Ovis aries: one gene and its partner. The protein of the gene in region 1 purifies or fractionates together with the protein of each later gene. This does not show direct contact. Links are inferred from orthologs where the notes say so. Each region holds a gene or a part of one and is shown in the gene's direction. Other genes may lie near its edges.

Region 1 (3,816 bases):
TTTTTCAAACATTAGATAGAAAAAGATTCTGGAAACCAGACTGCAGTTGTCAGAGATTTGTTTTAGGTTCATAAGCAAAGGTAGAAAAGAAGTCCTCATGGCTTATAAGAAAGAGAAAGCTTCTGCCAGGTACCCCTCAGAAAGCAGGGCCCTGGAGGCCCAGAAGCAGATTACTGAGGGGGGCACATGGACACTGTCACAAAGGTGAGGACTGAGAGCTGAGGGGCAGCCATCTGCAGCTGTGATGGGCACAGTTTTCATGAAATGATGGGTGAAAAGAATGGTTAAGAGAGTATGACAGGTCGGGAATTAAAGATAGAAACGACTCTGTATTGCTGCAAACGGGAACAGAAGCTAAGCTACGGAAGTTCACAGGAAAGCGACTGTTCACAGGAAAGTGACTGTTGTTTTAAGATGAGAGGGGAAAAAATTATGTTTGATTGGTGATGGAAAGCTCCAGTGGAGAGCAAAATGGTGGTGGTGTACCAGTAGGAAGAAAGGCATCACAGGGCACAAGAGGGCCTCCTCCTTTGTTCTTTGAAGAACGTATGTTAGTTCCCTAGGTTCTTTCACAGTAATGTCATTTTATTTTTCTAAGACATACCTCAATTAATAACTTTAAGATCCTGTTTGTTTATTTGATTCCTCTGGTTTGTGTTCTCTTATATAATGTTTATGGTTTTAGAATCACTTTCCACATTCATCTTGCCGGTTATCTCAAGCTCCCAGAAAAAGAGACAAAGCTGGCCTTGTCTCCATTTTACAAATAGGAAGATGAGACCCAAGGGAGATTGACTTCCTGACACCCAGTGAGTAACTAATACACAATGGAGTCTGAAACCTAGGTCATGTACTTTGAAAGGAAATAAAACACACTCATTTATATTGCAATGATAGCCAGAGTCAGTACCAAGTAAAACTGAATGACCTCTCGAAGCTGTCGCTGCTCAATGTAAGCCCAGCTACAGTGGGAGATAACATGATGAGGGCTCAGAAAGTCCAGAGCCCCGGCTCCCACCCCCTCTCTCGTGCACCCCATCCTGCCAAGCCTACAAGGTGGTTCCCAGCCGTAAATTGAGCAGTCAGGTAGCTCTCCTTATTTCAGGGAGCTTTATATCTAACATAGCTTTACTACGAGAAGTGGAGGTGTGAAAGTCACTAATAATGAGCATGTGAGCGTGAACGTGAAAGTCACTCAGTCGTGTCCAACTCTTTGCGAACCCATGGACTGTATAGTCCCTGGAATTCTCCAGGCCAGAATACTGGAGTGGGTAGCCTTTCCCTTCTCCAGAGAATCTTCCCAACCCAGGGATTGAACCCAGGTCTCCCGCATTGCAGGCAGATTCTTTACCAGCTGAGCCATACAGGAAGCCCAAGAATACTGAAGTGGGTAGCCTATCCCTTCTCCAGCGGATCATCCTGACCCAGGAATCGAACCAGGGTCTCCTGCACTGCAGGCGGATTCTTTACCAACTGAGCTATCAGGGAAGCCCGTTATTGTGAGAACTGATTTCAATTTGCCTACATAATTATTACCTACTTTCATGTTTAAGCCTTTCAGTCATAGGCATTCTTCAGCTTCAAGATAACTTCATTTTGATCTAGAGTAGGAAGCCATAAAGACTTCATTGTGTTGATTTAATAAACTGTGACCAGAGTTTATATGGTGCAGAGTTTGTTTGTTTGTTTTTTTAAATACTCTTAACTAGGAACCCAAACCTTATTTGAATATTATTTCAGAATGCTTCTGCTGACCCAGGGAGCTGTCCTGATTAATTATTCATTGATAAGTATAATTTAAGTGTCTCTTTGAATGATGCAACTTTATATAATATGAATATAAGGCATTTCAGTTGTATTTTCCTCAAGAAACTCCTTAGATATTGATCAGTGGAATAAAGTTATTGAGCAGCTAGGAACACCATCTGCAGATTTCATGAAGAAACTTCAGCCAACTGTGAGGAATTATGTAGAAAACCGACCAAAGTATCCTGGAATCAAATTTGAAGAACTCTTTCCAGATTGGATATTCCCATCAGAATCTGAACGAGACAAAATTAAAAGTAAGATATCCTTTTTTCTTATACTTGTTTTCATAATCTGGTGAAGCCCTGTTTATGTTTGCATTCTAAACTCTGTGAAAACTGAAAGATGAAATAGTTGAAAACCGTCAAAGTCATTTATAGGCAAGAATGAAGCCATTTCAGAAAGAAAGCCTAAAGACCTAGAAGTTTTGTCCTCAATAAAGGGGACAAAACTGAAGCCTCTGGTCAAAATATTTACATAGTCTGAAAGATTCTTATATTAGTTACAGCAAATGGAATTCAAACTGTTACCAGGTATAAAGAATACTTGAATAAAGATTGTCGCCCATTTGAAGAGTCAGAAATTTTTAAAGGCCTTTTCCCCTGATCCTGTGCCCATCACATTTTAATGTGTTTAAAGGAAAAGAATAGATTTGGTTTTCTCTGCATCAAGACAAACTGTGCCTCATTCAGAAGAGTTCCATCTCTCCTTTGCCTGCACACGTGAACTTTATTTGGTTTTGGTATTCATTTGGCTGTCCTGGGTCTTTGCTGTGGCGTGTGGGGTCTTGGGTTGCGCGTGCAAGCTCTCAAGTGGAGCATGTGAGGTCTAGTTCCCTGACCAGGGGTTGAACGTGGCCCCCTGCACCAGAAGTGCAGTGTCTCAGCAACTAGAGCACCAGGGAGGTCCCACCTGTGAATTTTAGTTGCTAAAACCTAGGTGAGCCTTGTATTTAACCAAGTTATTGAATTTGTTGAGTTTTTTCCTAGCTACTAATCTCTAGATTTTTTTTTAAGTGTACATTGTATACAGGTAGGCAAAGCAGAGGGCTTCCCTGGTGCAAGATACCTGGGCTCGATCACTGGATTAGAAAGATCATCTGGAGAAGGGAATGGCTACCCACTCCAGTGTTCTTGCCTGAAAATCCCAAGGACAGAGGAGCCTGGTGGGCTAGGGTCCATGGGGTTGCAAAGAGTCGAACACGACTGGGAGACTACGCACAGCACAGGCGAAGCAGAGATATCTGTGAGCTGCTGTATACGATGCGCATATGAAGTTGTTGTGTGGCTTAGTCTGCTCGGTTTCACTTTGATGTGGCATCAAGAGAAAAGGCCTGCCCGTGCTTCATGCCTGCACTCTCGGCAGTGCCACCCTCGGCTTAGCTCCAGTACCCTCCCTGTCCATGGCTTGTCAGCCTTCTGCCCTGTCCTTCTCCCCTCCCAGACTCAGGGCAAAAGCACCTTGGAAAGCCTGGTTTCTAGGAAATGGCTGCTTGATTTACTCTTAAAGAAAGAGACTAATAATCCTGAATTTATCACCAGTTTCTCAGAGTTAGTATATCTTTGTTCTGTCTGAGCTGTCACAGTTAGTTCTTTATTGTGTAATTCTCAGGATAAAATTGTTACTTTATTAATCTAATATTTGTTTTTACCCTAGCAAGTCAAGCCAGAGACTTATTATCAAAAATGTTAGTGATAGATCCCGACAAGCGAATCTCTGTAGATGAAGCTTTGCGTCACCCTTATATCACTGTCTGGTATGACCCTGCTGAAGCAGAAGCGGTAAGCATCTATTTTGAAAAGACTTGTGTGTAAAGGCAGGGCATACATTTCCCTGGATCTTCTGTCAGTCTGAAATGGCTACACAGAGATTTAAGGTTAAAAGTACTCCTGATTACTTTGAGGCCATATGCTGCTGCTAAGTCGCTTCAGTCGTGTCCGATTCTGTGCGACCCCAGAGACGGCAGCCCCGTCCCTGGGATTCTCCAGGCAAGAACACTGGAGTGGGTTG
Region 2 (3,816 bases), on another chromosome or scaffold:
CGGGGGACTTTCGGGGCCTGGGCTCCTTTGGAGGCCCTGCAAACCAGGGCTGTTGCTGGCCTGTACCCCGGCGCAAGCAGCTGTAGCCAGGGATCCGTGTACGGCAGGATCCACTTGCATTTGTGGGATTTGCTTTTTCTTTTCAGACAGCTTTATTTGACTGGTTACCAGAAGGCTGATTTTCATCTCTGTGCACGGCATAACTTTACCATGTCTATCCTTAGGTGGGTTTGCCGAGTTCTCCCGCTGTTTCCCTGGCCTCTGTGAAGGAAAGTCCACTCTAGTCCCCACCTGCATCTCTCAGCCTTGCTTACCTGTTGCCAACATCGGGCCAACCCGAATTCTGCCCAATCTCTATCTTGGCTGCCAGCGAGATGTCCTCAACAAGGTGGGTGCTTTGAAAATATCCTTCATTGCAGGATTTCTTGACAGCAGCTGGAGAGGCACCGGTGGGCCATCCTTTCAGATACAAATGTTCTCAAAGCAGCTCCCCAGCCAGCAGCCCAGCAGCCTTACCTTCTCCCCCGTGCTGTCGGCTGTGATGTTCTGTTTGCCGTCGGAGACCTAAGCCATTGTCAGGTGTGCTGTTCTTACAGGTCCAAGAGAGCTGCGACAGGACAGGGATTTTCGGAAGTTTCGCCCCATTTTCTTAGATGTTCTGTTACAGTAGCTGGGCGCACTCAGGAAGGCCAGTGCCATCTAGATTATTTCACACTTAGAAACGTGTGCATTCGCTGCATCAACTGGAAAAGAGCTCAGAGTGGCTTGGATTGAGGAAGAGTTCATGATGACTTCCCCCTTCCAGAGGGGCAGGGGAGGGGGTCAAAAGATGGTGAGGACCAGCGCTTAGAGGATGCAGTGTGGATCCCCTGCCTGAGGTTCCTTGACACAGTTTGGTGGAGACAGAAGAGGGAAGAACATGAATCCTGGATGTAAAGGATGTGGGCCGTCCTGAGCCAGGTGCCCCCAACAGAGGAGCCGTGTTGATTGGCCGAGGCCGTTGTATTTACCGGTACACACATAACAGCAGTAAACTAAGGTCTGTCTGTCTCCACAGTCTATATGCTCTTAACCAGTGTTGCTAGAACACAGGCCCCTAATTGCCTGGAAGGTGATCTGTCTCTAAACCTCTTACTTGGTGGTGGTTTAGTCGCTAAGTCGTGTCCGACTCTTGCGACCCTATGGACTGTAGCCCGCCAGGCTCCTCTGTCCATGGGATTTTTCCAGGCAAGAATGCTGGAGTGGGTTGCCATTTCCTTCTCCAGGGGGTCGTCCCAACCCAGGGATTGAACCTCGGTCTCCTAATTGCAAGCAGATTCTTTACCTACTGAGCTACCAGGAGGCCCTAAATGTCTTATTTACACCACCTCTAATTGAAAAAGCATTCAGAGATCTTAATTCAGCTGCTGGTGATTTATAAGCGCTGCTATCTTATGTAGAAAGAAATTTCTCCTTGAGTAGCTGGAAGAATTGGACTGGCTATAAAAATAAACTTCCAGGCGGGCTTGCTTTAGCACGTGGAAAGCAAAAACATCCTATCATTGGGCAGGAAGGACGCATTCTTTTCGCTACTTTTTTTTTTGCTCTTAAAACCCCTGCATCTTCAAAATTTTGCCTGGACATCATTGTTAATACATCTGCTCTTACTATGAGGCATTTGAAATTTGATAACGCATACTTGCACTGAGCCTTCTGGTGGGGTCATGATGTCTTTGAGCATGTGATTCTTATTAGTCCTCTTTGAGAAATAAGCAAAGTATGTCACAGCGTGCATGCTAAGTCGCTTCAGTTGTGTCCTACTCTTTGCAGCCCCATGGTCTGTAGCCAACCAGGCTTCTCTGTCCAGGGATTCTCCAGGCAAGAATACTGGAGTGGGTTGCCTTTTTAGTCAGACTTAGAAGATGAAGTCTTTGAGAACAAACACCACAAAACCACTAATTTTATTAGTTGTCTTATTTATTTATTTTTAACAGAGTGCCATCTAAGTATCTTAAAAGCATGTCATAGTAATTTTCTTAGGAGAATAATAGTGTTTAACATTTAAAATGCTAGGCTCAAAAAAAAAGAAAATAAAGTGCTATACTCTTTGTTACTGCATTTAACCCTCATAATAGGATTTAGAGGCAGGTTGGCCCTGAGTTGTATGACTTGCTTACCCACAGTTTTGTGACTAGAACGTCATTGACTTCAGAGTTAGTCAGTGGCAGAGATCTTTCTCAAACCTAGTCTACTCTGGCTCTGAGTCCTATGTTTACAGAACACCAGAAATCTTTATCTCCTGCAAAATGGAAATCTCCATAACAGGCTGTTTACAAAGGACTGAGATTCTAATGGTCTATAGAATTTAATCAAAATTTGTTTCCCCTGCTTTTTCTACAGCATAGTCTATACCAGAACCATCCCATAGAAGTAGAATGCAAGCCACACGTATAATCCAAAATGTTCCAGTAGCCCTTTTTTTAAGAAGTAAAAAAAAAAAAGTGAAACTAATTTTTAAAATATGTCTGTCTACTTTTTATCTTATGACCGCACCACTTGACATGCAGGATCTCAGTTCCCCCGACCAGGGTTGAGCCCCTGCCCCCTGCATGGGGAGCGCAGTCTTAACCACGCGGCCACTGGGGAAGTCCCGTGAAATCAATTTTAATAACATTTATCACCCGGTATCAAGAGTATTATTTCAACCTGCGATCAATGTAAAACTTACGGGCGCTTTACGTATTTCGTTACTGGGTCTTGGAAAGCTCGTGTGTGTGCTGTGGCCGCTGCTGCTCTTGCTGTGGATGAGCCACACGAGCCAGCTCCCCCCTCAGACCCTGCAGGCGCATGCTGTGAGCGTGTGACCGTTTTCACTTCTGTCTCAGAGACCCGGCTCTTCTGTAGGAGGCCGTAGGCAGGCATCGGTAGTGAAAAGAACACCCTTCCCCTCACACGTGTGCTTTGTTCCGACACTCTCCTCCTCTCTGGTCTTTGTGCTGGAGTTCCAACAGGAATGGCAGTTGTACTAAAGCAGTTTGCAGCTGCCCAGTTCTTATCTGACTGACTGCGCTTGGAATCAGAGTCCTGTAGTTAAAATGTTCAAGACAAAAGTTCCTGATGCTTTCTCCTCCCTTATCAGTTAAAATTCGAAGTGGACTTCTGTTTCACCCTTACACACGGGATGTGTGATGGAGTTACCTACTGCGCGTTGTTCTTGAGCCTGAACCTGTTCAGCTTCTTCACCCAACTCAACTCTACCCCTCTTTCCCCGTTTTAAACAGGCTGCTGCCAGCCTTCTTTGGGCAGCGTCTCTTTTGTTAATATTTATTTGTTTATTTGGCTGCACCAGGCGTTAGTCGCAGCATGCGGGATCTAGTTCCCTGACCAGGGATTGAACCCAGGGCCCCCCACTTGGAGCCTTAGCCGCTGGCCCAGCAGGGGCGTCCCTGGGTAGCGTCTCGTTTCAGTCTCCGGTGTGCGGAGCTGGCTCTCCTGTGCTGCCAGCACCAGGGCTGCTGCCGCTTCCCCTGGTGTTTCCATCTGAGAGTTAGGCAGGAGCCTGGTACCGTGTAGCCAGATACGGCTTTCAGGTTTCTCTGTGATCTAGGAAGACAAAGGGTCATGTCATCAAAGCAGGCAGTAAAAATGTTTATTGTGTCCACTGTGTGTAGAATGCCATATAGAGTGCAGGTTGGATAGACAAGACCTGTTCATGAGTCAGTGATTCATGAGACAGGTGACTTAGGGCTTGAGTGAGGGCTGGCTTTGCACGGGGTGGATTTGCATCCCAGCTGGTTGGCCTCACCAGGCAGAGCACCTGAGCCAGGTGACGGAATC

The links.
Region 2: the proteins of MAPK9 (region 1) and DUSP16 purify together in Homo sapiens (affinity purification with mass spectrometry; 6 studies listed by BioGRID and IntAct, with this or other methods). This does not show direct contact. The link is inferred for Ovis aries from reciprocal best matches to the Homo sapiens genes MAPK9 and DUSP16.

The regions. Positions count from the first base shown.
Region 1 is NC_056058.1:773,703-777,518, forward strand, and holds part of MAPK9 (mitogen-activated protein kinase 9), read left to right. Parts: exon of another isoform or gene 1-1,662; intron 1,663-1,880; coding exon 1,881-2,063; intron 2,064-3,462; coding exon 3,463-3,587; intron 3,588-3,816. UniProt on the Homo sapiens protein: Serine/threonine-protein kinase involved in various processes such as cell proliferation, differentiation, migration, transformation and programmed cell death.
Region 2 is NC_056056.1:202,976,763-202,980,578, forward strand, and holds part of DUSP16 (dual specificity protein phosphatase 16), read left to right. Parts: intron 1-224; coding exon 225-388; intron 389-3,816. UniProt on the Homo sapiens protein: Dual specificity protein phosphatase involved in the inactivation of MAP kinases. Dephosphorylates MAPK10 bound to ARRB2.